7 linked regions of the Macaca mulatta genome follow. The protein of the gene in region 1 interacts with the protein of each later gene in a biochemical or structural test. Links are inferred from orthologs where the notes say so. Each region holds a gene or a part of one and is shown on either strand. Other genes may lie near its edges.

The links.
Region 2: the proteins of ERBB2 (region 1) and BLNK form a complex in vitro, tested with the Homo sapiens proteins (2 studies listed by BioGRID and IntAct, with this or other methods). The link is inferred for Macaca mulatta from reciprocal best matches to the Homo sapiens genes ERBB2 and BLNK.
Region 3: the proteins of ERBB2 (region 1) and RASA1 form a complex in vitro, tested with the Homo sapiens proteins (2 studies listed by BioGRID and IntAct, with this or other methods). The link is inferred for Macaca mulatta from reciprocal best matches to the Homo sapiens genes ERBB2 and RASA1.
Region 4: the proteins of ERBB2 (region 1) and GRAP2 form a complex in vitro, tested with the Homo sapiens proteins (2 studies listed by BioGRID and IntAct, with this or other methods). The link is inferred for Macaca mulatta from reciprocal best matches to the Homo sapiens genes ERBB2 and GRAP2.
Region 5: the proteins of ERBB2 (region 1) and TNS3 form a complex in vitro, tested with the Homo sapiens proteins (2 studies listed by BioGRID and IntAct, with this or other methods). The link is inferred for Macaca mulatta from reciprocal best matches to the Homo sapiens genes ERBB2 and TNS3.
Region 6: the proteins of ERBB2 (region 1) and SHC2 form a complex in vitro, tested with the Homo sapiens proteins (2 studies listed by BioGRID and IntAct, with this or other methods). The link is inferred for Macaca mulatta from reciprocal best matches to the Homo sapiens genes ERBB2 and SHC2.
Region 7: the proteins of ERBB2 (region 1) and SHC3 form a complex in vitro, tested with the Homo sapiens proteins (2 studies listed by BioGRID and IntAct, with this or other methods). The link is inferred for Macaca mulatta from reciprocal best matches to the Homo sapiens genes ERBB2 and SHC3.

Annotation. Positions count from the first base shown.
Region 1 is NC_133421.1:64,070,309-64,074,289, reverse strand, and holds part of ERBB2 (receptor tyrosine-protein kinase erbB-2), read right to left. Parts: coding exon 3,900-3,981; intron 3,818-3,899; coding exon 3,727-3,817; intron 3,265-3,726; coding exon of another isoform or gene 3,163-3,264; intron 3,012-3,162; coding exon 2,851-3,011; intron 1-2,850. UniProt on the Homo sapiens protein: Protein tyrosine kinase that is part of several cell surface receptor complexes, but that apparently needs a coreceptor for ligand binding. Essential component of a neuregulin-receptor complex, although neuregulins do not interact with it alone.
Region 2 is NC_133414.1:108,279,747-108,284,200, reverse strand, and holds the start of BLNK (B-cell linker protein), read left to right. Parts: upstream 1-1,426; 5' UTR 1,427-1,597; coding exon 1,598-1,644; intron 1,645-4,454. UniProt on the Homo sapiens protein: Functions as a central linker protein, downstream of the B-cell receptor (BCR), bridging the SYK kinase to a multitude of signaling pathways and regulating biological outcomes of B-cell function and development.
Region 3 is NC_133411.1:93,755,133-93,759,113, reverse strand, and holds part of RASA1 (ras GTPase-activating protein 1), read right to left. Parts: intron 3,777-3,981; coding exon 3,634-3,776; intron 2,473-3,633; coding exon 2,357-2,472; intron 1,700-2,356; coding exon 1,613-1,699; intron 1-1,612. UniProt on the Homo sapiens protein: Inhibitory regulator of the Ras-cyclic AMP pathway. Stimulates the GTPase of normal but not oncogenic Ras p21; this stimulation may be further increased in the presence of NCK1.
Region 4 is NC_133415.1:11,633,695-11,638,390, forward strand, and holds the start of GRAP2 (GRB2-related adapter protein 2), read right to left. Parts: upstream 2,980-4,696; 5' UTR 2,733-2,979; intron 1-2,732. UniProt on the Homo sapiens protein: Interacts with SLP-76 to regulate NF-AT activation. Binds to tyrosine-phosphorylated shc.
Region 5 is NC_133408.1:81,066,175-81,070,763, reverse strand, and holds the start of TNS3 (tensin-3), read right to left. Parts: upstream 3,236-4,589; 5' UTR 2,331-3,235; coding exon 2,253-2,330; intron 1,986-2,252; exon of another isoform or gene 1,788-1,985; coding exon of another isoform or gene 1,728-1,787; intron 1-1,727. UniProt on the Homo sapiens protein: May act as a protein phosphatase and/or a lipid phosphatase. Involved in the dissociation of the integrin-tensin-actin complex. EGF activates TNS4 and down-regulates TNS3 which results in capping the tail of ITGB1.
Region 6 is NC_133424.1:1,068,114-1,072,094, forward strand, and holds part of SHC2 (SHC-transforming protein 2), read right to left. Parts: intron 1,046-3,981; coding exon 917-1,045; 3' UTR 912-916; intron 1-911. UniProt on the Homo sapiens protein: Signaling adapter that couples activated growth factor receptors to signaling pathway in neurons. Involved in the signal transduction pathways of neurotrophin-activated Trk receptors in cortical neurons.
Region 7 is NC_133420.1:119,710,145-119,714,125, forward strand, and holds part of SHC3 (SHC-transforming protein 3), read right to left. Parts: intron 3,095-3,981; coding exon 2,799-3,094; intron 1-2,798. UniProt on the Homo sapiens protein: Signaling adapter that couples activated growth factor receptors to signaling pathway in neurons. Involved in the signal transduction pathways of neurotrophin-activated Trk receptors in cortical neurons.

The sequences.
Region 1 (3,981 bases):
GAAAGAGTCTCATCAACAATTCTGGGAACCACCCTCTTGGGAACCACCGTTCCAGTCTCACAACAAACCCGGGAGGGGTGTGGCTGGGTCATTATCCCCATTTGACAAAGGTAGAAACTGGGCTCAAGGCCATCAGTGCTCCTTCTACCAACCCACAAGGAGACTCCTTCTCCAGCCAAGGAACCCGCATGCCCCTCTCCCCTGCAGCCCCTTGTGGTGGGTAGGAAGCAGGGAGGGCACCCAGAAAGGCAAGTAAGGGAGCTCAACTATTCCCTCCATAGAAGAATCTCAGGGTAAACTGATACGACTTCTCCAGAGAACGGTTTGGCAACACCTACGAAATATTATCTATGATGCAGCAAATTCTCCTCTGAATACAGACCGTACATATTGCTTGCAAATGCTTTTGTCACTTAACAGAATCTTGCAGTGTTTTTCCATGTTCTAATACCGTGATCTGGATCTAGGATCCATATGGATCTGGACCCATATTCTCTTTTTTTTTTCTTTTCTTTTTTTTCTCGAGATGGAGTTTCGCTCTGTTGCCCAGGTTGGAGTGCACTGGTGCAATCTCGGCTCACCGCAACCTCCGCCGCCCAGGTTCAAGCAATTCTCCTGTCTCAGCTTCTCAAATAGCTGGGATTACAGGTGCCCACCACCACGCCCGGCTAATTTTTGTATTTTTAGTAGAGACGGGGTTTTGCCATGTTGGCCAGGCTGGTCTTGAACTCCTGACCTCTGGTGATCTGCCTGCCTCGGCCTCCCAAAGTGCTGGGATTACAGGCGTGAGCCACTGCACCCAGCCCGGACCCATATTCTTTTAATTTTTCTCATTTAGTTGTCTTTAAATTGAAACGCATGAATACATCCTTGTGATAAACATTGCCAGCACTATATACCCTAAAAATGCCAATGTGTGGACACTAGGGGGCATACAGAAGAATGCTCACTTGTGTATGGAGCTCAATTGCAATAAACTGCGAAAACAGGGAAACAAGCTCAATATCCCTCAAAAACAAAGTGAAATTACATCCATGTTATAGGTTGAATAATTAAAAAAGAATAAAGATGGTAGATCTGTCTGTACTCACAAGAAAGGATACCTCAAGTCGGAGGGAAAGTAAACTGCAGAATAGTATGAAGAGAATGATCCCATTTACATTACAAAATGTACACGCACACAAATCTGATGACAAGTGGAACTATATGAAATTGCTGTTTCTTGACCTTTTTTTTTTTTTTTTTTGAGACAAGAGTCTTGTTCTGTCATCCAGGCTGGAGTGCAGTGGCACAATCTAGGCTCATTGAAACCTCCGCCTCACGGGTTTTCTCCTACCTCAGCCTCCCGAGTAGCTGGGATTTCAGGTGTGCATCACCATACCCGGCTAATTTTTGTATTTTTAGTAGAGACAGGGTGTCGCTACGTTGGCCAGATTGATCTCGAACTCCTGATCTCAAGTGATCCGCCTGCCTCAGACTCCCAAAGTGCTGGAATTACAGGTGTGAGTCACCGCGTGCCCATTTTTGGTTTACACAAACAGCAATCTTATTTGACTCAACCTAATATAAATGTAGTGTGTCTATATAAGTGTGCAGAAAAGAGCCCAGAAGGATGAACACACAAGTCAATGCGGTGGTTCTCCCAGCCCACAGGAGAGGCTGGGTGGACAGGGAGTTGAGTGGTTTTGTAACATTTATACTTTTATGTTACTGAAAATGTTTATCACAAGGATGTATTCATGTGTTTCATGTGTAAAGACAACTAAATAAGAAAAATTAAAAGAATAAGGTAGATCACCATGTTAGAACATGGAAAAACATTTCAAGGTCCTGGAAAGTGAGAAAAAGCAATTTGCAAAAACAATATGAACTATGATTCTATTTGGTAAAAAGAAATATATGACTGGGCATGGTGGCTCACCCCTGTAATCCCAACACTTTGGGAGGCCGAGGCTGGCAGATCACCTGAGGTCAGCGGTTCAAGACCAGCCTGGCCAACATGGTGAAACCCCATCTACTGAAAATACAAAAATTAACTAGGCAAGGTAGCATGTTCCTGTAATCCCAGCTACTCAGGAGGCCAAGGCAGGAGAATTGCTTGAACCCAGGAGGTAGAGGCTGCAGTGAGCCAAGATTGCACCACTGCACTCCAGCCTGGGTGACAGAGTGAGACTCCATCTAAATATATATATATATATGTGTGTGTGTGTGTGTGTGTGTGTTAGAACGTGCACAGATAAAAATAACTGGAGAATAATATTAATGTATGTTAACTTATATATACATATTAGAATGTGCACAGACAAAAATAACTAGAGGAAAAATATTTCAAATTATTAACAGTGGGGATAGAACTGCTAGGGCATTAATTTATATTTCATGTTTTAATTTTACCATTTTAACAATGTGTTATTTTTATTTTTATTTTTTTTGAGATGGAGTCTCGTTCTGTTGCCTAGGCTGGAGTGCAGTGGCGCAGTCTCAGCTCCCTACAAGCTCCGCTTCCTGAGTTCATGCCATTCTCCTGCCTCAGCCTGCCGAGTAGCTGGGATTACAGGCGCCCACCACCACACCCGGCTAATTTTTTATATTATTTAGTAGAGACGGGGTTTCACCGTGTTAGCCAGGCTGGTCTCAAACTCCTGACCTCAGGTCATCTGTCCGCCTCGGCCTCCCACAGTGCTGGGATTATGGGCGTGAGCCACCGTGCCCGGCCCCAACGATGTGTTATTTTTGCCATCAGAAATAAGATATGATAAAGGGAGAGTTGGTCCCCTTTTATAGTAAGAGCCCCAGAGAGACCCCTGAAAGGAAAGTCCTCCTTTCTGCAGAAAAGACCCTCAGACTCACGAGTGGGTGCAGTTGATGGGGCAAGGCTGGCACGTGCCCTCCTCATCTGGAAACTTCCAGATGGGCATGTAGGAGAGGTCAGGTTTCACACCGCTGGGGCAGCGGGCCACGCAGAAGGGAGGGTCCTTATAGTGGGCACAGGCCACACACTGGTCAGCCTCCTGGGAGGGGCAGAAAAGGTTTGTAGGGGGCTAGCACTGACACCCCCAGGGCAGTAGGATCAGGCCCTTAGTTGGGTCCCCTTTGTGCTTCCCAAGGCCACCCAGCAGCAATTTTCACCATGCTCCTGGGACAAACACCTCTGCTCTTCACCCAGTCTCTGTGGACCCTCCCTCGGGGCCCTCCTCCAAGCTTGATCCTGGGCGGGGACTTGAGCCAGAGAATGGGAGGCACCCAGAGAAGAAAACGCATTACCTAAGGTGTAACAGCGAGTAACAACAGTCACTGCTGCATAGAAAGCCTTTCCCGGGCTTCACTGTGCCAAGCCCTGTTTAATTTCATTCTCACCACACCCCAGCAAGGTAGGTACTATTACAATACCCATTTTAGGAATAAAACACCAAGGTTGGAAGCAGGACCTGGGTCTGAATCCAGGTAGTCTGACGCCTGAGCCCGCAGGGCTAACCACCCTAGCACAGCCACAGCCACAGCCGCAAACGCAGACCTCCTTAGAACCTTTTCATAGTCTGAAGGGCCCCAGGGTCCCCCGGGCCCCCTTTCCTGCCACTCTGCTGCTGTTCGGGTCTGAGTGCTGAGCCCTCTCCAGGGATATTTTACCAGACGGCACACCCTGCCGTGTCTCGCCATCCTGCCAAGTCCCTGGCAATCCCCCTCGCTGCACCCCTCCACCCAGCTCTGAGCCCGCCAGCAGCTCACCGGTCCAAAACATGTCACTGAGCCATTCTGGGGCTGACACTCAGGGTGGCACGGCAAACAGTGTCTGGCATTCACATACTCCCTGGGGAGCCTGAGAGAAAGGACAGTGGTGAGCGGGTCTGAGAGGAGCCCCATGCACCCCTCCAGCCACCCCTCTCCTCTGCCCCTCATACCCCTGCAGTACTCGGCATTCCTCCACGCACTCCTGGCCCCGAAGGAACTGGCTGCAGTTGACACACTGGGTGGGCCCTGGAC
Region 2 (4,454 bases), on another chromosome or scaffold:
GGAGAAAGACAGAACATCCATTTGTGCAAAGAAGAGGCACAGGAGGGAAGAAATCCATCCATGGTTTCCACCTCTGCCATTGCCACTCTTCCTTCTCCTCCTCCTCCTCTGTCTCCTCTTCCTCTGCTTCTTCCTCCTCCTCCTCCTCCTCTTCCTCCACCTCCTTTCCCTTTTCTGTCTTCTCCTCTTTCCCCACTGTCTTCAGTCAGATCTTGGGTCTACAACAGGAGAGGTAACTGAGAGCCCTTTACTTTGTCGTGCTGTGTATTCTTCTGACCCAGGAGAAGACTGGTTCCCTTGATAAATGTTGGAAATGTGTACTTTATTCCACAAGAGTGAGCAGGGCATTCTCGATGGCTGCAAAAAAGTATGTCCAGGAACAAAAAGTTCCTCCCATTTTCTTCCTCCCTGACCCTAGACTGCAGGCTGCTCTTTAAACAACAGATAAATCAGCATGTTTCAGATTAGGCAGAAGGAAATGTCAAGTCTTCCAGGAGGGAAGTAGAGTTCTCTGAATACGTTCAGCCCCTACAGGTATGGTTCCCTCCTCCCAACCTCACCCCACCTGTCTGAGCTTGAGATGGCCTCGTGTCTGGCGTGTCACTGGCTGTGATGAGCAAGCGGTGGACAGGACAGGAAGAGGCAAATGCAAGGAGGGGAGTGGCATTCTGCTTTTAGGACTTCAGAATGGCCTGATGTAGGAATTGCACTCTTGTGAAACTGTTAGATTTGTTCTCATCTGACTTTTGGGTACATCCTGGTTTGTTTGAAAGCATCTGGCTATCGGCAAGGTAACTCCTGACTCTACCAGGCAATAAGGAGGCTGCACATCTTACGACAGAGTTCATCTCCCCTTTCCTGGGTCACCCATCCCTACCCGCAGATGAACAGAGAATTGCCCATCCCATTTTAAATAGAGCTCCAGAAAAAGAGAGACTCTAATTCTCCGAGTAAACTGTTACCACCATGTCACTGCCACCCTGATATTTATTTTTAAACATATTGCTCGCATCAGGGGCGGGGAGGGAAAAGCACAAAAATGCCATTTTTATATAATGGTTCTATAAGTAGAAAAAGCTTATCCATGACTTTATGCAAATAAGCAGAAAGTCTCCAAGAGAGGTTCAGATGGACTTGATTACTCTGCTTTTCCTTGAGCCCAGGAAGTTCCCAGTTATAGCATGCACCTGCTGGAAACAGACTAGATGTGTTTGGGACAAACAGGAAGTAGTGACCAGCCAGAAACTTGTCCCAACCTTGTTACAAATCTGATTGTAAAAGAAAGCAGCTGGAAAGAAATTTGCATGCCCAGTAGGTTTCACTATTAAAGTTTACAGAACGTGGAGTAATCATCAAGCTGGCTGGCTATCCAGATCACATGATTATGTAGAAACATGAAACTTGACTATGTGCTCGGGCAAGTTTTACTTCTCCCTAGAGCAGGGGTGTTTGCCAGCAGCCTGCACTCTCAGAAGTCAGACTTGAGTGGCCGGAACCCTTGAGACCAGAGGCTTACCATGCTGCTCCTTAGGAGGGCCAGGAACTGCTGACGTGACCACTGGACACTTATTCGTGTCTCTTACAATTACCAAACAGAATGGACAAGCTTAATAAAATAACCGTCCCCGCCAGTCAGAAGTTGAGGTAAGATTTTCCCCACCCAATACTTACCCTTCTTCATCTCCTTTTTTTTCCCCCAATGCTCTTATGGCATCTCAGAAATACTGAAATCCTGGAATGCTTTGCTAGTTTCCAGTGGGTGGCACTTACTATAGGGAAGTGGACTGAGCTTTTAGGGAAAGCATTGGGTGGCACTTGCTATAGGGAAGTGGACTGAGTTCTTAAAGAAATGTGTAGGAACAAGAGAGACTTGCTTTAGCTACCTCTTACAATAAAGTATGAAGCTCTGGAAAGATAATAAAACAGAAATACCAAGGGCTTAGATTCTACTGAAGGTCAACGTTCAGAGTCTGAGTGCAACCAACTTTTCTAAGGAAGGGTTTCTCTAAACTGAGTCCTCACCCATTTTATTGCAGGTTACTATTTAATTTTAAGGATAGCTGTAATCATTTGTTATTCATTGTTTTATTGTCTCATTTATTTTGTGGGTGTATATTACAAGTGTGTTTGGGGGGATTAGATCTGTCATTCCAATACCCTCATGTCAACGTAACAATGATCTATAACAAGCCTCTTAAAAAGGAATAAACCAGAAGCGGCCCCACGGGCATGAGTCAAGGAGCTATGGAAAAGACAACTTCCCCAAATTTTGCTTTTGAAGGTCGTCTTTTTGTCTCATTGTAATGGCATCATGGCTTTCAGAGACTGGAACTTTTAAAGTTCAGGGAGTGGGTTTTTTTCCCACATTTTTTAACAGTTTTTAAAAAATTATTATTATACTTTTAAGTTCTGGGGTACATGTGCAGAAGGTGCAGGTTTATTACATAGGTATACATGTCCCATGGTGGTTTGCTGCACCCATCAACCCGTCATCTACATTCAGTATTTCTCCTAATGCTCTCCCTCCCCTGGCCCCCAACTCCCTGACAGGCCCCGGTGTGTGATGTTCCCCTCCATTCAGGGAGTGTTTTCTATTCTGACTACATATCGGAACTGAGCCAAATGTTCAGGGGGTGATGTGACACGTGTAGCAGACAAGTAATCCCAGATAACAAGGAGCCAGAGAATTGAAGCTTTTGAGACAATATTTAAGAGAAAGTCTGGAATTGGCAGAGGGACAGCCCTTCACACTAGAATACAGGTCTTATGCCTAGGAGGTGCTTGGTAAAAGGTAATGTGATATGCACCAATGATCTGGGATCAGTAGGCAGTATCAACTGCATTCAACCATTTCAAGAACATGCTGTTGAGTTCTGCTGTGTGATCAGCACTGACGGGACAGGAAGGCACCTCATTCTTGCCCTTGGTCTCAAATAGCTACACCCTCATAAGGGGCAGGGATGATACAATAGAAGCTGTAAGTGACTGAAGGAATGTAAGAAGAGAATTAGAGTAGCAGGAGGAGGTTTCATAGAGAAGATAATTTAAGAGGTAGGCTTTGAGAGGTGGGTAAAATTATAAAATACTGGAGAATTGGAGGAAACATGTATGTGCTGGGAGGGAGGAAATACAGAGGCTGTCACTCAAAGCTTAACACACATACGGTCCATTTGTGGGATGGTGAGGAAAGTTTTCTGTCTAGCGGAAACTATAGAGTAGGGCATGTAGGACCTGAAGGTCCTGGTATAATTGGACACATAGGGCGGGTCCAGGTTGCAAAGGGTGGTGAGGGCCCTAACCATAGGGAGTGTTGGAGAACAGGTTATGCTGTTAGTGATGTCATGACAGCAGGCTTAAAGGAGTCTGGTAGGATGTGTTGGAGTGAGAGGGACACTGGAGGCAGGGATCTGTTGGGAGGGAGGAGCGCTTAAGTAACCCAAGCATCCAGGGCTGTAGGCCTGGACTTGGGGCACAGCAGTGAGAAGGAAGAGGGAAAGAGAGGGAAGAAAGACGTGGCAAAGAAACTAATGAATGAACAGGAGGATTCCAAATGTTTTTTTCAGACATATATCATAATGTAGAACTATACAGAGACGTATTCTCTTTCAGGGAATCCAGATGGGAATTTAAGTAAAGGTGCTAGAACTTAAATCATTTTATGATTCCTCCCTTTGGGACAAAGTCCAGCTTGATCACAGAGCAGCTGATGGGCAATATACAACCATAGATTATGGAATAGAAAACCAAAATTATACCACGGATAATCATATACTACACTCATCTGCTTACATAAAAGTAACTTTTTTCCCACTTGATCACTCAGTTGTCTTTATAGAATCATCACGTTGTGATAAAATGTACCCTGCTGACGTGGAACTTTTCAAAGAAATGAAATTGTAAATTAAATGGGCTCGAAGCACCATCTTAACTCTTTTCCATAATTAGATAGCTGGGATGCTGAGCAGTTAATAGATGAAATACTTGCCTCCTGTGATTTGTGTCCTCTATCCTGACTGGTTGACATCAATTCTGGAGGTTGATTAACAACATAATTATTTGGCACCAGACGACAGCAAAAGTGGACAGTTATGTTTATACTCTTAGGCTTAGGTGAGAATTTGCTCAAATTCTTAGCCACAAAAATAGAAAGACAGTGAGTGTTCATCCAGGGAACTGAAAGGAATGACCTTGATCCAGGGAGTATATTCCCAGGACTGAAAAGAAAGTAGAGAAGAAGGAATTACTAGAAGGTGAGGGGAAGCAGAGTCATCCAAGGAAAGGAGGTCATGCAGGATTGGAAGGAGACAAGGAATTCTCAAAATGAAGGAGAAAGGGAATGTTCTAGATGAACCCATTTGGGGATGGGTCATCACCTTGAGAGTTTCTGCTGTATCAGAATAGAGATAGGCGAGATGGCTAAGTTGCTTGTGACCACAGAGAGGTGTGAGCACAGA
Region 3 (3,981 bases), on another chromosome or scaffold:
ATCCAACACTTTGGGAGGCCAAGGTGAGTATATTACCTGAGGCCAGGAGTTCAAGACCAGCCTGGCCAACATGGTCTGACCCCATCTCTACTACAAATACAAAAATAGCCAGGTGTGGTGCTGCATGCCTGTAATCCTAGCTACTTGGGTGGGTGAAGCATGAAAATCACTTGAACCTGGGAGGCGGGGGTCGCAGTAAGCTGAAATCACACCACTGCACTCCAGCCTGGGCAACAGAGCGATACCCTGTCTCAAAAAAATAACAATTAAGTCTTTAATTTTGGACTTCTCAAATTTAAAGAATATTGTGTAAACTTTACTTGAAAATATTGTCATAATTATACACAGTAGGTCTATGAGCCTGAAACATAACCTTGGCAAAAATGCCCTAAAACACCCTCTTGCATCAGTTTACAATTTCCTGCTGTGTTTGCTTAACAATTATACTTGTTTGAATTTATAGAACAGTTTTAATTTACATCTCACACATAACTGTGCTAGCATATAATTCTTTTCTATTCCTCCCAATCACCATTAATGCCAACAAAAACTGAATCTGTAGTTCTTAAATATTATGTCATATCATAACCAAGAGAAATTTTATCTGCCCCCCAAAAAAAGAAATAGAAGACCCTTGACAAAATTTAGGTTGGAGGCAGGATTAACACACATTTTCAAAACAAACTGTAATAATGGTGTTAATGGTTGTCTGATTATTTTAAATATAGCATGACATGACTATGTATATTCTAAATAACAAATTATATTATTAGAAAACTGCTGTATTCCATGATGCTTTTGCATTAAATTTCCATTTGCCTGGAATTAGTTGGGGTATTGGTTGGAGTATGCTTAACAAAAGCAAAAGCCTACAAATAAGACTTAAGGATATCAGATTGGGTCTTAGAAAGTTACCTTTAGTTGTGCCTTAGCCACCAGCTTTCTATATAACCTTAGTTCAACAACTTAACCTCTCCAGACAGATCTGCTTCTTCATTGGAAAGTAAGTTAGAATAATGATAATTAAGTAACCTTATATAAGCTCCCAAATTCCATGATTTGCCAAAGCAGTTCTTCCTATAGAATAATGATAATGAAGTCCCTTTATATAAGCTCCCAAATTCCATGGTTTGCCAAAACAGTTCTTCCTAATTATGGTACAATGAGCAGACTGAAACACAGCTTCAGCACCACATGTTCTGGTTCCAGATTAGCTCAGAGTCACAGATTGTAATAAACCAATTAATATCTAAATCAGTCAATTACTGCTCTTCTCTTTTAGTGCCAATCAATGTGTGTGTGTATGTATGAAGAATATTATATGAAGTTAGCTACAGATTTTGTTTGTATAACTTTTAACCTCATCCTGTAAGGGTTTAAAAATCCCCAATACTTGACTATAAATGAATGTTCATGTTTTTAGAAAATGCAAACGGTAGCTAAATCTCATAGTAACTTTAAGTTTAGGAGCCATTTGGACTTAGAAAATATGCAATAGGGCTTTGACATAAAAGTCAAAGAAAAACGTTGAATTGTATATTGTTATTCTTCAATCTTTCACAATTATCCATCTATCAGTTTGTGATTTAACAAATGAATTGATGAGCCTTACCTAACAACTCTTGTTCTCATGGTGGTATTTGTAGGCCACTTATGCTGAACAGATTTCTGTAAACACCCATAAATATATCTCAGTGTCCTGCCAAAATAACACAATCATCTCAACACAGAAAGCAAGTGAAACTACTGATCTCCTAGCAGCCGAAAGCTTAATTTACCCAAATATACCACAGTTTAATAAAACTGGCCTTTTCCCCAAAAAAAGTATTTTGCCACAGGTAATGAGACATTTAGAAGGGGTAAGGAAAATTTTATCGACTAAGTTTATCATCATCAATTTATTCAGTCAACTTCCTGACATTTACTTTCAGATACAGAGAACTAACCAGCTGCAAACTCTGGGGAGAAAGATTTAGACTTAGGTTAACTTCTACCTAAACAAGTGAGTTCACTAATACTGGAGGCCTAAAAGCATATTAACAGAGTGATTAATCTATCAAGTATAGACTAAATGGATAGACAAGATATCTTTTACAATCTCAAATCTGAAACTATAAACCTCTATTCACTCCCCAAGCTATACAAACCAGACATATTGGCTTGTACAAAAACAATGGGTGGTTTTATTAAGACAGTTATTTTCTTTAAATATAATTCATCTTATAAAGATTAACCATGACTTTTTCAGAGTATAATAATATTAGGACAACAGAAAAGCTTTCACATGTTTTAGAAATAGAAACTTCTCAAGACATAGATACACAATTTCTTGTCAAATGAAAATTTCACCACTTACGGTGGAAGTATTTCTGAAGCCATGAATATTTTCTCCACAAGCTCTGAAAGTATGTTCAATAGGTGTGCTAAATTAGTGTTCACATCTTCATTTTTTTCTAACTTTGATGGACTTAACTAAAAGAAGGAATAAATCAATAGAAATGCATTGTTGGCAATGACAAATGCAAATGAATTGAGGAAAACAAGTAGTTGTAGTTTTCAAGGTTCTCTATCTTTCAGTATCGCTGTGTGTACTGATCTTTTTTCTTTGTATAAATGGGAGTTTTTAAGTAGTTTGCTCTATGGAACTCCTGGTAGGTTTGTTACCATTTATTCCCAATTACCCAACTGAAAAGCAAACAGTGGTTAGTCAATTCTATTTGAGGGTAAAAAAAGCTGATTAAAAGCCCTTTCTGAATGAGGCTTATTTAATGGCTAATAAAAATATCAAATGTCTTAGGCAGAATCACAAACCTTTCTCAGAACTTCTCCTGTAACCCTTCTGATCTAGTGTCAGCAGAGTACATTTATCTATGGAAGTCCGAATTCCACAGCCTATATCTAAAGTCCAGAGACTCCCTACCTACCTGCTGCACTTCTGTGTCATCCTTATGCTGGGCCAACTATGGCATTACTCCAGATTTCCAAAATTAAATCACTAATTTCTTCCCTTCAGGTTATTAGTACGAATTGACACCTTCGTGCAGGATTAACATTTGCTAGGTCCCAGTGTCCACTGTCGAAAACAATTCCTTAAACTGATTTTTGTATCAGATCTAAAATATGTATTTCTTTGTAGCTGCTTTACCATTAAAATGAGAGAATATATGTGTGAGATTCCACTTACTGTCTTAATAGTTTATTATGAATTTATACTGAAGGTTCAATAATCCTAAAAAGATGTTTTTGTTTTAGTCAAGGTTATCTCATAATTCTCCTCTTGCAAAAAAACCTTCAAGGACAAACCTAGATGTAATGAAGTGCTACACAGGTCATATGATAAGTCACTAACAAAACCTTCAATGTATGTTATGCATGCTTTCTATAAGTAGTATATAGATTACTAGTGCAGTAGAGGAAATGATAAAAGTATTTTCATGAATTTCTGGTGCAACTTGATGGTTTTTAATCCCAAAATAAAGTACATCTTTTTAAAAAAGTCCATTTTGCAGAACATTTTTATAAATGTATTAGAGACAGGTATAACTGCTATGAGGAATAATTTTAGAAATTTAATATTTTCCTTAAAATGTAATTGGCTACAAATTATTACCTACTAAAACATTAAATTCTTACCTCACAAGACTGCTTGCTTTCCATTATCTTTAAAATAGAGTCTTTCAAAGCATGATGAACAAACTGTGTAGCAGTGGCTTTCATATACTGCTCCATCAAGGTGCTTGCAAGTGTTGTGGCTCGAAATAGGGTAGTGGCTTCATCTACACAAATATTTACATTAGAAGATTATTTGTAAAGGACTGACCTAATGTGACCAAATTGGAAGTTAAGTGAATTCATTTTACCTCAAAAGGAATAACCACTTAAACGTACTTTTTGCATGCAGCATTGAAGTACTAATTACAGTGACATCCTATACTTCTACAGACTTAACTCTGTAAGACTTTCATATGTATTACCTCATTA
Region 4 (4,696 bases), on another chromosome or scaffold:
CACTGTCTTCTTAAGGAACGTCTTAACATTTTCTTTGGAGAGCATGTAAGACTTTTATCATCATGTACTTTGTGATAGTTTAATTCTCTAAAAGTGTTGTTTATAAATGCATATTTAAAAAGAAAATCTTTAAAAATTATTTACTGAATTCCTACTGACTCAAGTTTATTGAAACTTAACGTTAACACTGTTGAAGAGGACTTGGTGCCTAGCGCCAGGCCTGGCATATAGTAATTGATCGATAAATGTTTGTAAAATGCTTATCTGTTAAACAGGGCCATGCTTTCTTAAGAATTTTTAAGTGGAAAAGAAAGGGCAGGCCAGGTGCGGTGGTTCACACCTGTAATCCCAACACTTTGGGAGGCTGAGGCAGGCAAATTGCTTGAGTTCAGGAGTTCAAGACCAGCCGGCGCAACATGGCAAAACTCTGTCTCTACTAAAAATACAATATTAGCCAGGTGTGGTGGTGTGCACCTGTAGTCCCAGCTACTTGAGAGGCTGAGGTGGGAGGATCACTAAGCCCAAGGTAGTTGAGTCTGCAGTGAGCTATGATTGCACCACTGCACTCTAGCCTGAGTGACAGAGTGAGACCCTGTCTCAAAAAAAAAAAAAAAAAAAAAAAAGACTCATGAGACTGTGTTATCATCATTATTATTATTTATTTTTGGAGATCCGCCCACCTCGGCCTCCCAAAGTGCTAGGATTATAAGCATGAGCCACCGCACCCAGCCAAGGCTGTGCTATTTCTTTACAGACCAAGGTACGCTGGGCAAATACCTCAAAAGGACAAAATGGGGACCTATCGACCCTATTGTTTGATTCAAACAACTTATAAAGATTCTTGAACAAGTTTTGAGTTTGTTTTATAGGGGCACAAAAATGAATAATCTGCCCCCAGGATTATCCAGCAGCAACTGTTACTTATTTAAGAAATCCTGATGGAATCACACTTACTGACACATTTTTCGAACGACTGCAGACTTTTCTTGATCCAGGAAAAAAGGGCAAGTTCTACTCAAGTTTAGGCATGAACCCTGTCAGTCATCAACACCAGTGGGTGTTATTATCTGGGAATCAATAAATATGTTGGAACTAGGATCATTTTCAGCTCTTCTAGAAAGCAATAGTTCTAAAAGAGATGGCTTCAGGAAATAAGTAAGAGACATTTTGTATAAGAAGTTGGAAGAAAATGATCAAGAGTCAAAGAAATAACTAATGATGACATTGTCTTGCATTTTTATAGTGCATTTTTCCTAAGGTATTTCATATCTATGTTAACTCATTTATTCTTACAATATCCCTACGAGGTAGACAGAACAATTGAAAGGGATTTTCACCAGGCCTAAGACGTCGGAGATATTCAAAAGGATATTGTATTAGCAACAGAAATATTTCTTCATATTGAATAGATTGATCATCTCTTTCTCCTCTGCTTCAGTAAAGTCATTTTTTAAAAAGATAAAATCTATTACAATTTGGGGAGAATAAGATTTCAGTTTACCACATGGGAGACACTCCAAGTTTAATCTAAAAAAGCAGTTTTATTCAATAATATAGGGCCACCTCTCTTTTACAAAAAAACAAAAAAGGGTATGAGTCAGATATTTTTCAAATTTGAAAAGTAAATATACTTAGGTGGTCCTCTATTTACACAGTGTTCCTTATTTAATAGCAGATGGTTTTGTAAAGAGGGTCACTATAAAATTATTTTATAAAGTTTTATATACAATACTGGATTGTTAAAGGAGAGTAACTTCTGCTAAATGCTCTTTCTGAAACCAAAAATAAGAAACAAAAAGGACCCACTAAAGAACTAAACCGTTAATGACAAACGTTGCTGCACAGAACAAAAGATTCTTCGACCTGAAGTTTCCCATCCTCGGATAACGTAACGAGAGCACACGAAATTTTTCCTATTGGATGTTTAGATCTAAAACATTTCCCTCTCCTAGTTTATCTAGGGATGTATATGTTCAATAGTGTGCAAATTATGTTGCATATACCTTATTAAGAAGGCCTAATTCCAGGTAGGTAAATACGGTAATTTTTTTTGACAGTATACCTGTCAGCGCAATACGATACATTTTAAATTAGTGAAACCGTTGGTTGGTATGTTCAATCCTCATGTTCAGGAAGAGTTAGGACAAAGAACACAAAGCAGCTAACTTCAGACTGGATGCCTAAACCAGAGACAGTCACAGGGATGGAGCCTAACGGCTAGTACAAAGAGAGACAATACCCTTCCAAAATACACTTCAACACAAAGTCTTCTTTTTTGTAAAGGAATGAAAACTGGTGTTCTTTGTATAGGTAAGAAAAATGCAAACAGAACTAGAAATTCAAGCAAAGGGAGAAATCCTGATCTCAGAGTGCTGGTGTTCATTCATCACTGCTCAGCCCTCTACCACCCCCTCCAACCCCTTCCAATTTGGATTAAATCCTGACCATGGTGAAGTAGAATTTTTACCTCTGTGATCCCAAGGTCGAAAATCTTTCCCCGAGATGCTTCTGAAGCCAGTTTGTGGAGATTTTTGTGTTATGGACTGGGTAAGGAACAAGCGTTCTCCCAGTTCACTTGATAGAAGTCAAATCCCATCACCACAAACATTGTCACGGCAAAAGGTTTAGAGACATTAGCTGATGGGACTTAAAAGCAGTATTCAGAGAACTAATGAGATTCATTTTAATTAACTCATACAAAATATATGTACAGATATTGTATAATGACATACCTTTTGGAAGAGAAGTGGTTTGTTGAATTTATGTCTTGGCTTTGATGCCGAGTTATTAGAATCCTTTCTGGCAAGAAGGAAGACAAATTCAAGCATCAGAATTACTGCATTTCAGAGTACGGATCCACTTTGTGCTGTCTTCCATGTACCACTCTGAAAGAGGGTGCAAGTTTACAGATCCATTAACTGTGCCTCCTCCTCCCCACCTCTTACTCCCTCCTCCAAACTAACCCTAGTCAGCCCTGCAGCCTGCAGGCAAACCACACAGGAACTAGCACATACGGGGCTTCAGAGAGTTGGGCGTGAGCCTTAGATTATGTGGTTTTGTTTTCTTGCTGCCAGTGTTGAACTAAAATGCAGGAGGTTCACTGAAATACTTTTGCTTCTTTATGCTAGGTTTCAGTTTTAACAATATCCCTCCTGAACACTTATGTTCACATAAGAAAATTTCTAGTCCTAGATATGGTCCATCAGCAAGTCGATCTTAAGGAAAACTCTTATTCTCTTAGTACAGTCATGCAGCCCAAGGAACATTAGGGCTTCTTGGGGGAACTTATTTAAGAGCACCCTTGATCACTCACAATGTTAAAATCCCAGGGAAGATGCTTTGTTCATGCGCTCAGTCTGTAATATTACTCTTGACAAAAAAAGAAGAAACATTCTGAGCTGGGATGACTTCTCACCCCAGGTTTGCCACAGTTCAGCATGAGTTGGAACCAGTTCCTTCGATTTCTGGGACTTCAATTTGTGTTGAGTCTTGGACTGAAGGCTTTTCGGGATTTAAGACTTTCCATTGACCTTATATTTTGTTACCTTCAACTTCCTTAGTTCTTACCTTTAAATGTACCACTCACCCTTCCCCCTATATCAAATGCAACTTGTGAAGGCCTCTTCCTTTCTCTTTGCTCTTGCTAGAAAATGGATTGCCAACGTTGCATCTTTTACAGAAAATTAGAGACATTGCTACTTGCTAAGTGGTGCCATTCAGAGTTTGGGAACTGGATCCAAGATGAGGAGGGAAATGTTGGCTCACCAGAATGTTCCTAGCATTAATCCCTGGAATACCAAGAGGGCAGTGTCAAGGAGAGACTCAGTTTGGGTTCTAAAATTTAAACTTTTTCTGCAATGTGAAATGGCATCCTTTTCCATCTCTTGACTTCTTTATATCTAAACCTTGCTTAAAATTTACTTTCTTAAAACCTTTTCCTTGGTTATAATTGCTCAATATTTTTATTGAAATAGAAAAGAATCAGCAGAGTGTCATGGTGATAGAAAATGCTCAGTAAACATTTGTCGAATGAGTTAAAGGAGGTAATTTTCTGCCCATAACTCCTTTTTTTTTTTTCTTTTGAGATGGAGTTTCACTCTTCGTGCCCAGGCTGGAATGCAATGGCACGATCTTGGCTCACTGCAACCTCTGCCTCCCGGGTACAAGTGATTCTCCTGCCTCAGCCACCCGAGTAGCTGGGATTACAGGTACCTGCCACCATGCCTGGCTAATTATTTTTAGTAGAGACAGGGTTTCACCATGTCAGCCAGGCTGGTCTTGAACTCGTGACTTCAGATGATCCGCCTGCCTCGACCTCCCAAAGTGCTGGGATTACAGGCGTGAGCCACCGCACCCGGCCGTGTAACTCTTTAATAACAGGCTTTCTTCTTATTGATGCAAGTTTGTCAAATTTTCTTAAATCCTGGTTACATCTGAAAAGGATTTCTGCTATTTCCACATTATAAAGATAAAATATAAAAAATAACAACATCTTGCTACTTTAAAAATAATAACATCTCAACCTTGGCCTCAGAATTCTTCAGCCTCCTAAGGACCTTCTTGGATCATTACATTGAACAGCTCTATTGCCAAGTTTTTAAATGCTGAAATCCTCTGGCTACAGTCCTTAGTCTTCGATAGCTCCCAAGTCAATGGTTTTGAAATGGTTAAAGGAGTCCCTAAAATTCTATGGTTG
Region 5 (4,589 bases), on another chromosome or scaffold:
TGATAACAGAGGTTGTGTGTTCAATGCTCTGCAAAAGAAGGATAATGATGCTGCTAATTATGCAGTTGGTAACACTAGCCAAGTGCTTCTGTGTCATTACCGTAATCACCACTAGTCTACAAACCGCGATGGTGAGATGCAAAACCAAGATGCAGCACCACACAGGCAATGGATGTGGCATATGGGACTCAGGCCCCATATGCCTCAAGCCCCAGTCTCACGCTCAGACAAGAGTAGCATTCAAACACTTAACAAACACATCTCTCTATTGCAATGCAGCAGCTGGTACATACTTTTCACTCATACTGCAGTTATTTGTGTATACGCCTTCTCTCCTGTGCTAGATTGCAATTTCCTAGATGCAGGACACCAGGCTCTTTCCCCTTTGTCCTCTTAGGGCCCTGCCCAGCGCCTGGCAGACAGTGGACCATGGACCCTCAATTAATATTTGTTGACCAAATGAATTAGCCACAGTCTGTGGGCCAAGGAAAGATACTGTGACCTTTTATTCCTTACAAACACCTTTATTCCAACCAGGGAGAAAGAGGCACTGTTTTCTGCAGCTTTCTTGCCCACTGGTCCACAGCTAGAAAACTTAAAGAGGGAAACAGCAGAAGCGCTGCTGCGAGGGCTCAGCCATTTGAATTGCTGGATCCCTGAGGAGTTCATTTAAGATAGTGTAATAACATCTGCTCACGCTTCATCTGTACATAACATCTCTATTGTGAAATGAGACCAGACGGGATTAGACTGCCCTTGTTTTCACCTGATACTGTGCTTCATTTCTCCCAAAGGGGGAGAGGAGGCAGCAATGCTGAAGTATTTAGCAGGCTCAGTTCAGGAATCTAAATTGCACTTAATTGTTAGGAACAAAATGTTGGAAGGGTAGAAAGCAGGCTGCTGGTTCCACAAGGACTCCCTGAGGGGGACACAGTAATTAGTGCTGGTCTTGATTGTGAGGTCTCTTTTCAGAAAGAAAAATCTCTGCAAAATTGAACAGGGAGGTGCTCCACATGAATGCTCCACTCTGCCGAAATGCAAAACCGCAGGGACCTCTCGGCTAGGTTCTCCCGGCTAAAGGTCGCCTGGCAAAATGGTTACACACGCAAAAGTGCAAAGCTGCATCAGCACAATCCCTGCTATGTTTTCCTTTCAGGAAATATTCAGCTCCACCGTAGTAAAAGGATTTAGGTGGGCATTCAGGCACCTGGGAAACCTTCAGAGGCATTCTAGAGAGGCAGGCACTGATGAAAAACACATTCCCAGCCCAACTTTACTCTGATATTAAACAGCCAGGAACACTTCCGGGCCTCGGGGATATTTCCCAGCCCACAGGGAGCCAGTATCTGGGGCAAGAGGGACACCCTCCAGATCCAGCACATATTGTTCCCACACTTCCAGGCAGCAGCGTTTGACCACTAAACTTTAAGAGGGAACGCAGTACACCTCAAGTAACTAGCTGAAATTTTAACAGTTTTTCACTCCACAGAGCCTTACAAAAGTTTCAGAAAAACAAATGCAATAAATTCCTGATTGTTAGACTTAGGGAAAGGGCGCTGAACCTAGCGGGAGCCAACCAGGACGGGTCTGTTTAATTCAAACACCGTGAAGGGCCGTCCTGTGGACCGCAGAGCGCCGCTGGAACCATGCGGTCCCCAGGGAACCTGTAAGGATTCCTACATCCCAGCGCATCCCCCACATTATTGAAGAGCTAAAATGTCCTTTACCTTTGCAAGAAACACGCGAGAGACAGCAGGTCTGCGTAATGGCCAGAATCCCAATTCCATTGCAGGGAAAGGAAACCAAGAAGCCTTTTCAAGAGGCTGTTGGGTTGGAAAGAGCTAAGCCTGGACCCTCTTCCACGCTTACCAGAAGCCGCTCCCACTAGGCAAAGCTCCACTGGCCCTCTCGCTCCTTGTCCTGCGCGCACACACACAAGGGTACACACGTACCCACAAGGGTACACACGCACCCACCAGGATTCTGGCACGGACCAGCGTACACATGCCTGTACACACAGACGCGCGCTCACAAGCACGCACGCGTGGACGTGCAGACGGGGGTGCACAAACACACACCGACATACGCGCACTGACAAGGGCACACGCATATACATGAGCACAGGGGGGTACACACCGGCACAGCGTCCACGGGCACCAGCGCACACCCGGCGCAGCCCACGTGCGTGCAGCCCTGAAGGCGCCCGTGCCTCGCGCCCCCGGCCCCGCACCCCAGCTCCGGGCCGCACTCACCTGGCGCCGGCGCCGGCGCGCCCGGGTTCCGCGCGCTAACCCTCCCGGTGGCCCGGGGGTCAGGGCGCGCAGCCGCATGGCCGCCCCTGCCGCCCGCTGGGAGCCCGACCCGGCCAGGCGAGGACCCCTCCCCAGTGGCGGTCGGGGCAGAGGATGCCTCCCGAGTTCCCTGCGGACACAAGTCCCAGCAAATGGCCAACACGGGAGGAGCGAAGGGCTCTCCGTGGCCGCCGGCCCAGGTCCCAGCCGCGCGCCGCCGCCTCTACGGCCACTTCTGTCCGTCAGAAGTCAGACGCCGGGAACAAAAGGCAGGCGCGAGAGCACGGTCCCGCACGGCGTCCCTCCATCTGACACGAATTAGCCCTCCCTCCCCCGCCCGCCCCAACCGCAACTCCGAGCGAGCGCGGAGGCACAGGCTGAGCCGCCAAACACTGAAAAGTGGGTGAAGAAACGCCTTCCAGGCGGAGGGAGCAGGGTATTGCAGCCGCCATCTGACTGGAATTACGGACGCGCGGAGCTTGGTGCAGGGTTCAGCTTTACTAGGATTTCAAACCTCTCCGAGAACGCTGGCGAGGGGCTTAAAAGAATCAAAACCGGGCACGCTCTTCGACTTTCGGAATTTCTAAATCTTAACTATTATCCAGTCAACTCTGCATCTGTAATGAGCAGTAATCTGCACTACCCTGGTAATCTACACTGGCAAACAGGGCATTTGGAGTGGAAAACAGGGAAACACCGAGGCAGAAAGGCTTTTTTTCTAATTTGCCTTTTCAACTAGGAAAAACTAGGAGCCTGGCCTTGCAAAGGACACGCCTAACCAGGTGAGGATTTCAAGCAAAGCTCAAAGCACAGGACCGCCCGGGGCCTTGCACACCTGGGGGCTGGGCTGCACCTCCCTGCCCCCTCCCTATCTCCCAGCCCATCCCTCCCCCGCACCGCCCTCCCCAACCCCCCCGCCGTCCTGCTCCTGGCAAATCAGGAAAATTCACAGCAGATCTCGAGTCCCGTCTTCCTTTATGGGTCTGCGATTTTAGAAGGAAATTAGAAACCCGAGGTTCAGGAGGTGAAGATGACAGGGTGATGGAAGAAGATGGACAAGCCAGGATCCTGAAGGAAGGGTCACTTAGAAACGCAGGAGGAGAGGTGGGCAAGATCCACAGGCAGATCCCTCCTTTCAACGCCTGTCGGACTTCACCAGCCTTCCCGGGGCAGTGGATCTTGGCTGTCTACAAGAAGCTTTGTGGCAAGACTGAAAATAAAAGATCATGTTCAAGATGAAGCCACTGCCTGTGGTCTGTGGGGGGCAGGGGAAGAGATCCCTGCCTCAGAGTAGGATAGGGGGCCTTCTAGCCTCAGGCCGGCTAACCCTGTACTCCTACTACCGGCCTTCACTCCAGGCCCAGCCTAGGGGTAGTGTCCCAGAGCTCAGCCTTTGTGCCTCCAACACTCCAACTTCGGATCTACAACTCCACGTGCAACTCCACATGCCTTGGATGTGGGGAGCAGTATGGGTGGGCTTAGTCGTGGCCTTTATGGCTGACATATGTGCAAATTCCAGCCATCAATTCAACTGGCCGACGTTAACCTCTCAAGTTCTGGCACTAAATATCCATCTTTCCGTTTCTGCAGTAGAAGAGCAAAGCTGCTCTTCAACTTTCAACTACAAAGGAAAAAACCTCCTCCTAGAACACACCATTCTGGGTTCCAATTCCTCACTAAATCATCACCTGGCAGACAAGCAGGCATTCTCATTTCCCCCTGTCCTTCAAATGACATCATTACTCACCTTTTTCTATATTCATTCCTTCCTTCATTTTCCTGTATTCATTCATCATTTTTTTCCTATAGCGTATCCAAACTTTAGTTTTTTCAAATGTCTTTCCCTGAGAACACATCTGTATCATATTCATTCCAGATTCCTTCACATCTGACACAATACCAGGTACATAGAAGTGTCTACAAACAGCTAAGAACAGGACATGCTGCTGTCGTGGTTTACCCAAGACAAACACGCCCAGAGGTCAGCTGGATCTACCACCGCCCTTACCACGGTGCCCACGGGAACCGGCCGAAGAAATCTGAATTCAGCAATGAACAGATAGCTCCCAGCAGGATAAAACTCCTCCAACCTGAGTACCAGGATTCACACTCTCTGGGGTCCACCCAGGAACAATGGTCAGGAGCACAGGCCAGCCCACTGCCCATGCAAGCCAGAGTGGAAGGCAAATAGTTGAAGGTGGCTTTTTATTACAGGGATACCCTGAATCTGCTCTTATTTAAAAGGGTAGCCATTCAGAAAACTCCCATACTTCATTACTAGTAACAAATAACATGCAT
Region 6 (3,981 bases), on another chromosome or scaffold:
TCCCTCCTCCCCCGCCGCTCTTAGCCTCCACTCCCTCCAGCCCCACAGCTGCACCCTCTCCTGCCCCGACCTCACCCCAGAGGAGAGACCCTGAAATCACCCAGACCTGCCTGTCCCTCCCCCGTCGATGCCCCGCCACGGGTTCCCCCCAGCCCCGCACCAAAAGTAGAGGCCCAGGGCTCTGCGGCCCGGCCTGAGGTGTGGGCTTCTCACTGCCTGGGTTCACACACCAGCCCCTGCCTGTCCCAGCCCACCGTCCTCTCCGGGAAGGAGGCCTGGACACCCAGCACGCAGCAGGGGTCCATAAAGACCAGGTGACATCCATCCCAGCCAATCACAGCTGCACAGTTACCATCATGGCTGCACAGGGCCACTCTGGGGCACGTGCCCACCACGGCCAGTGACGCGTGTCCACATACAACCTGTACACAAAGGCTCACGGTGGCCAAAACGTCCATCAGCGGATGAACAAACACAATGTGGCCCCGTCACACAGTGGGACATTACCCAGCCGTGAACAGGAGCCAAGCTCTGACCCAGGCCACAGCACCAGGCACCTTGAGGACGTCACGCTCCGTGAGAGACGCCAGACCCAGAAGGCCACACCGTGTGATCCCATTTCTAGAAAATGTCCGGGACAGGCCCATCCACGGAGACAGGAGGCGGATGTATGGGGGTTGGGGCTGGGGAGGGGACAGGGAGCGATGGCTGGTGGGGACAGGGCACCTTTCGGGGCTGATAGAATGTTCTGGAACTCGACAGAGATGGTTGCACAGCTTGGATGCTGAACACCCCTGAGTCGTGCCCTCTAGAGGGAAAGGCACGGCATGTGAACCGGGTCTCAAATTTCAAATTAGAAAAGAATCGGGTAAAGGGGACGAGGCCGGCGGCCCACGGCGGCAGCCACACACCTGGCTCAGGGCTCCCGGGAGACGACGCCGCGCAGGTGCAGCTCGCTCTCGGCGGCCACGATGGGCTGCCCGTTCTGCAGGTGGTGGTCGATCAGGTGGCTGATGCTCTCAAACAGCACGTCCTTCGTCCGCACCTGCAGGACAGACCTCGGTATCAGCTCCCGGGAGCCGGCCTGGACCCGTGGAGTCAGAGATCGGCGATCTGGGGTCCTGTCGGGGAGCCCCTAGGGTGCCTGCGTGGATGAGTGTCCGGACCAGGGAATTCTGGGACGCCAGCCACAGGATCGGCCTCAGAATCCCAGAACCACACGTGGGCACGGGCTCTGAAACCGCCGGGTTCTGGGGCCACGCGTCCTGTTGGGGGCTGAAGGGTGACCCCATGAGAGATTGGAGCCGTGTGTCCGCAAACCCGGCAGCACCCGGGAGGCGGCCACCAGCGGGCGCCGGGAGGGGCCTGGGACCGAGCAGCACCCAGGAGGTGACGTGTCCCCGGCTGCTCTGAGATCATGGGTGACGTGTCCCCGGCTGCTCTGAGTTCGTGGGTGAGGCTGGGGGCCCTGTGCACATTTCACGTGGGGAACAGGGGCAAATGCACATTCCTAGGCCTGCGGCAAAATTATCTCCTTCCATGGCACTGGGAATAGGAGCTGGGAATCTGCCTTTCGACAAGGTACTGGTAGACGTTCTGAAGCTTCCCCAGGTCTAGGGGCTGCCAGTCTGACCCCAGGGATCCATTTAACAGAGGGAATCTGGCCTGGGAAAGAGCAGAGGCATCACCCACCAGGCTAGAGGCTAGGCGGCGGCGGGGGGACCGGAAACAGTCTGAGGGGGCTCGGGAACTGGGAGAATAGGCGCCTCTCGCCCAAGCTCTGCCCCTCTCCAGCTTTGTCCCAGGCTGGGGTGCACAAGTGCCACCCCTGCCCCCCACAGTGTGCTTCACGCGGAGACCAGGCTCGCACCAGCCCAAGAGCCACTCTGAGGGTTCGGCCGGACGGCTGAAAATGCCTCCTGCAGTCTGAGAGGCCTCCGAACCCTCCAGCACCTCCTCACCTAAGAAATAACCTGTGTAGCCCTCAGACGCTCAAAATGCTTCATAAACCCTAGAACTCCTTGTAAATCGGAAAATGCTTTGTAAACCCTAAAACGCTTTAGAAGCTGGAGATTACTAAATCCCACTGGCCCAGAGCAACTGTAAGATGCACCACGATTTCAGGTACCAGGAGCAGACAGAGGAGAAAAACCTCGCTGTTAAATAATGATGCAGTTCAAGTATGCAATCGATGGTTTTAAAACAAAATCCAGCCGGGCGCGGTGGCTCACGCCTGTAATCCCAGCACTTTGGGAGGCCGAGGCGGGTGGATCACAAGGTCAGGAGATCGAGACCACGGTGAAACCCCGTCTCTACTAAAAATACAAAAAATTAGCCGGGCGCGGTGGCGGGCGCCTGTAGTCCCAGCTACTCAGGAGGCTGAGGCAGGAGAATGGCGTGAACCCAGGAGGCAGAGCTTGCAGTGAGCTGAGATCGCGCCACTGCACTCCAGCCTGGGCAACAGAGCGAGACTCCGTCTCAAAAAAAAAAAAAAAAAAAAAAAACAAAATCCAGACTCCAGAGACGTCAAAACTGGGGCGGGGAGAGTGTCTCTCAGCATTGAAGCAATTAGGCCAGGCGCGGTGGCTCATGCCTGTAATCCCAGCACTTTGGGAGGCCGAGGCGGGCGGATCACGAGGTCAGGAGTTCGAGACCAGCCTGGCCAACGTCGTGAAACCCCGTCTCTACTAAAAAAATACGAAAAATTAGCCAGGTGTGGTGGTGGGAGCCTTTAATCCCGGCTACTCAGGAGGCTGAGGCGGGAGAATCGCTTGAACCCTGGAGGCGGAGGTTGCAATGAGCTGAGATTGTGCCACTACACTCCAGCCAGGGCAACAGTGTGAGACTCCATCAAAAAAAAAAAAAGAGAGAGAAAGAAAGGGAGGGAAGAATTGAAGTAATTCAGTAACTTGATCCCAAAATTCCTTGTAAATTGAGAAGTGCTTTGTACACCCTCAAATAAATTAGAACCTGAAAATACCATATTTATCCCTCAAATACATCACCATTTGTAAGGTGCGTACGTCATGATATATGGGGGGGGCATCTTATGATGGATGAAATCGTACGATTGGGATTACGATTGGGAAAACAAGTCAGGAGGATCACGTGAGGCCAGTAGCTCGGGACCAGCCTGGGCAACACAGCAAGGCCCCATCTCTACACAGACTTAGCTGGGGACGGTGGCTCCCACCTGTAGTCCCGGCTACTCAGGAGGCTGAGCCAGGGGGACCGCCTGAGCCCAGGAGTTCGAGGCTGCAGAGAGCCATGATCCTGCCACTACACACAAGCCTGGGTGACAGAGCCAGACTCTGTCTCAAAAATACACTGGAAGATACTTTGCAATTCTATGGTAGCTGGTCAAACACAACATCTGCAACAATCTGGAAAAGCTTCATAAACACGGATGGCCCCTGGATGCCCCCGGGCCCGAGACCCTCCCACCTGGGCCCAGCTAAGCCCCTGGATGCCCCCAGACCCTCCCACCTGGGCCCAGCTAAGCCCCTGGATGCCCTCAGACCCTCCCACCTGGGCCCAGCTAAGCCCCTGGATGCCCCCAGACCCTCCCACCTGTGCCCAGCTTGCCACCCCCTCGGCCCCAAGACCCTCCCACCTGTGCCCAGCTTACCACACCCTCAGGCCCGAGACCCTCCCACCTGGGCCCAGCTAAGCCCCCGGATGCCCCCAGACCCTCCCACCTGTGCCCAGCTTGCCACCCCCTCGGCCCCCAGACCCTCCCACCTGTGCCCAGCTTACCACACCCTCAGGCCCGAGACCCTCCCACCTGGGCCCAGCTAAGCCCCCGGATGCCCCCAGACCCTCCCACCTGGGCCCAGCTTACCACGCCCTCGGGCCCGAGACCCTCCCACCTGGGCCCAGCTAAGCCCCCGGATGCCCCGAGACCCTCCCACCTGGGCCCAGCTTACCACACCCTCGGCCCCCAGACCCTCCCACCTGGGCCCAGCTAAGCCCCTGGATGCC
Region 7 (3,981 bases), on another chromosome or scaffold:
CCCCTGGTGTCCCACCTTTCTCTCTCAAACTGTCTTTTTCTCAATCCTTTGACTCTGCTGGACTTTGTCACCCCCATGACCTAGTGTTGGGTCTGATCTCCCCAACAAAAATGTCTGTTCTTCCTCAAATTAATCTATATACATTCAATGCAAGCCCTATTGAAATCCCAGCACATATTGTTGGTGACTTGAAAAACTGATTCTAAAATCAGTGTAAAGAAGAATATATATCTGCAGCTCAGTAGAACGTTTTAGAAAAAGGAGAATCAAGAGGAAGGACTCACACCACCAGATGCTAAGAGAGTTCCAAAGCCATAAGGATGGAAACAGCATGGTACTTATACAAGGACTAAACAGATCAGTAGAATAGAATCCAGCATCCAGAAACAGACCATGGTGCAAAGAACTTAGTATGTTTTCAAAGGAACATCAGGACAGCAGAGAAGAGATGAATGATTTAGCAAATGGTGACAGAAAAACTGGCTTACCCTCTGGAGATTTAAAAACATGTTGAACCTCGGCCAGGCGTGGTGGCTCACACCTCCCAGCACTTTGAGAGGCTAAGGCAGGTTGATCACCTGAGGTCAGGCGTTCAAGACCAGACTGGCCAACATGGAAAAACCTGTCTCTACTAAAAATACAAAAACAAACAAACAAGTAAACAAACAAACAAAAAATGTATGTATATATGTGTATATATGGTGTCTCTATCTCATTTCAAATTCAAAAGTACCTTCAGTTGGAATTAAAGCCCACATGTGAAAGATGAAACTATAAAGCTAATGAAAGAAAATATATATTCAAATCCAGTATATTTGTGATTTGTGGGGGAGAAAAACTTTAAAAGTCAAAACCATCAAGCACAAATGGGAAAACTGACAGATTCAGATGCATCCCATGAAAGACTTCTATTTGATGAAGACTATCACAGACAAAATTATCAGATGGATGACAAAAGCAAGAGAATACATATGAAAATTCTGTTGCCGAAAACTTCAACAAGAAAGCCCAATCAGAAAGTCAAAAGAAAAACATGGAGAAAAGATAAGAACATTAACTTTACAGGAAGAATCTGCTAATTTACTAATGAAGTGCAACCAAAGAATTACAAATCAAACAATGAGATATTCCCTTTCTCCTTACTCCCACAAACTAGCAAACCTAGAGACTCTCTCAAGGAAGAGCAAGGATGTTGCTGGTGTGCGCCTCCGTAGCTCAGCCATTCTGAAAGCAAATCCAAGCCCCAGTGAAATTCAATGTATGTGTACCCTGTGACCAAAACGCCACTCTTGGCTCCTGTCCCAGAGATACCGTGCCCAGGTACAGAGAAAAACATGCATGAGAGTTTGTAGCAGCTTAGTCAACCTTCTCAAGAGAGCTCAGTAAGTGACGTGTGGACTGCACATGTGACCGGCCCCAGGCAGCCCACCACAGTAATGATCTGATAAACAGAAACCACCATGGGCACATCTCAACAACATGTACGGTGGTGGAAAAGGAAGAAACAAAATGGGATTTGTGGAACAATATCATGTTTGCAAACTTTTTTCTTTTTTCTTTTTTTTTTGAAACAGGGTCTTGCTCCATCACCCAGGCTGGAGTGCAGTGTTGCGATCACAATTCAGGGCAGCCTTGACCTACTGGGCTCAAGCAATCCTCCCACCTCTGTCTCCTGAGTGGACTACAGGCAGTCGCCACCACGCCTGGCTAATTTGCAAATTTCTAAAAGGCACAAACACAAAATGTTTTCTCAGAAGTATGTGTATGTTAAAAAAGAAGATGGACTGGAAGGATATACATATATACGTTACATTCATGAGGAAGGGGCTGTCTCCGTGGAAGGGAAAGAGGAAGTAGCTACTGGCTGGAAGTGGGAAGTGGCTGCTTCCAAAGAAACAGAAAGAGGAACTGTTCAGAGTGCCAGGAGCTGGGGTGTTCAGGCAACTGAGTCTTGGCACCTGAGGTAATAAACCATTTTGGATAACACCCCCACCCCCGACTCATGCAGTTTAATTGTGTTCCAGTCCAGCTGAAGACAAAAGCTTCATCCCTCCCTGTCAATCAGAAAATGCAATGTTTTTAACTCCTATTAAATAACTCTACCCTGCTTCGTTGTTTTCACTGGATAAAAGGTTTTAAACAATCCTGGAATTTCACTCAACAGTTAGGTTGATTTAACTACATTTATGAAGCTTAGCAATTCTTGGACTATGCCCCAGGTAAAGTCGAATGTGTTTCTTGACAGGAAGATGAAAAATTCAGGGAAACCTACAGGATTATTCAGATACAGCTATAGTGCCAGGGATGGCCAACATCACTAGGAGTTACTTCTCTAAACGGGAAAACTAGAGACTTAGCAAAGGGGGTTTCATTTACTGATCATCACATTTTACAGCCTTAGAACAAAATCCTCAGTGATTCAACTTTTTGACAGAAGCATTCAAGGTAAATATTAAAAGCCTAGACGCCTGTACTTCCTTGTCCACTAGAAACATGTTTGTAAGGAAAATGCTCTCAGTTTCTGTATTTATTTACTTTAAAGGACATAAAAGTCAAGGCTTTCAGCCTAGGCCATAATTCTAAAAGTTTTAAAACTTGTGTGGGACCCTGACCACTGGCTCCTGGCTCCTGGCTCTGGCCTGATGACAGGAGTTGTCTGTCCCTGGGTTCCCCTGAAGGACTCGGTAGGCACTTGTGGATAGAGGTGGGAACGTGGAGGTCATTTGACAAAGTGGAGACTGTTTAAGGCAGGTCTGCGCCCATCAGCAGGTCCGACCCCATCCCCACTGGGTGCTCACCGTGCCTTCCGGGTCCACGAGCAGCAGGTGCTTGGCCTGGCCATTGTGCATGCCCGTGAGGACAAAGGAGCCCGGGTTGGTGGTGCTCTTCCTGACCAGGAAGTCTCCGTCTTTCTCCAGCAGCCCCTCTGCCTCCTTCCTGCTCATCTCTCCTTGGTACCAAGTCTCAGCTTGCAGGTCCTCCAGCATCTTGGCATCCGGGGCTCTGGGTGACACAGGGCTGATGCACTCCACGGAGGCTGCCTTGCTTAACACGGGCCCCAAGGGCTGGTTCTTGAGAGCATCTTCAAAAGGTTCTGTCATCAACAACATTGACCAGCAACAAGTCAATCTCAAGAAGAGCAAATGATTAAAAAAAAAAATACAGTGAGAGAGATGGAAATGCAAAGGCAACTCCTCCAGAAGGGGAAAACAAAAACCACTGGAAAAAACTAGCTGGCTGGTAATATAACAAGAGCCATCATAACAAGCATTGAAAAGCACAGCCCAAATTTTGGCATGCCTTTCTGATGAGTCTGCTTTCCCAAGACAGCTGGGAGTTGTGCTATGTGCCAAGGAGTCAAGCACACCCTTTGTCTAGCTAGTTGGAATGACTTCATTTTTGCATGCTGCAGGAGGCCATGAATATCACATGCCATGTACTTTCTCTGGAACTTCAGCCAGCCTCTTTAACAAATTCGGAATAAAAATCTGCCAATACCAAAGGGAAAGATAAGCTACAAAGCTTTGATTTTATGCAAAACAGGAGCCCGATCCACCAAAGATTTATTTCAAAATCTTTGCATCAGGCAAATTTTTAAAAGAGAAAGCTTATGGGTATTGGGTGCCTCTTGTGTGACTTGCCCCAGGCTAGGAGCTCCACCTCCCCTTAACCTTCACTTGTTTCCCTGTGGAACGAGGCTCTCGAATGAGTGCTTGAGACCACACTTGGTTTCATCCCCTTCAGAGCACACTTCTCAGTGCAAGGCATGTGTGAATGGTGAGATGGCTGCTCTAACAATAAATACCAGCAGCAAAAGAAGTAGCCAGGCATGTCTAACTAAATTCCTATGTTCGATTTTCACATAAGGTAGTGTGTATGAAAGAACTCTGAAAACTGCACACAGTGCTATGCAAGTGGAAGGTAGTGCGATGATTATTTCAGCCTACGCTGTCTACCCAGCACAACATAAGCAGCACAAGA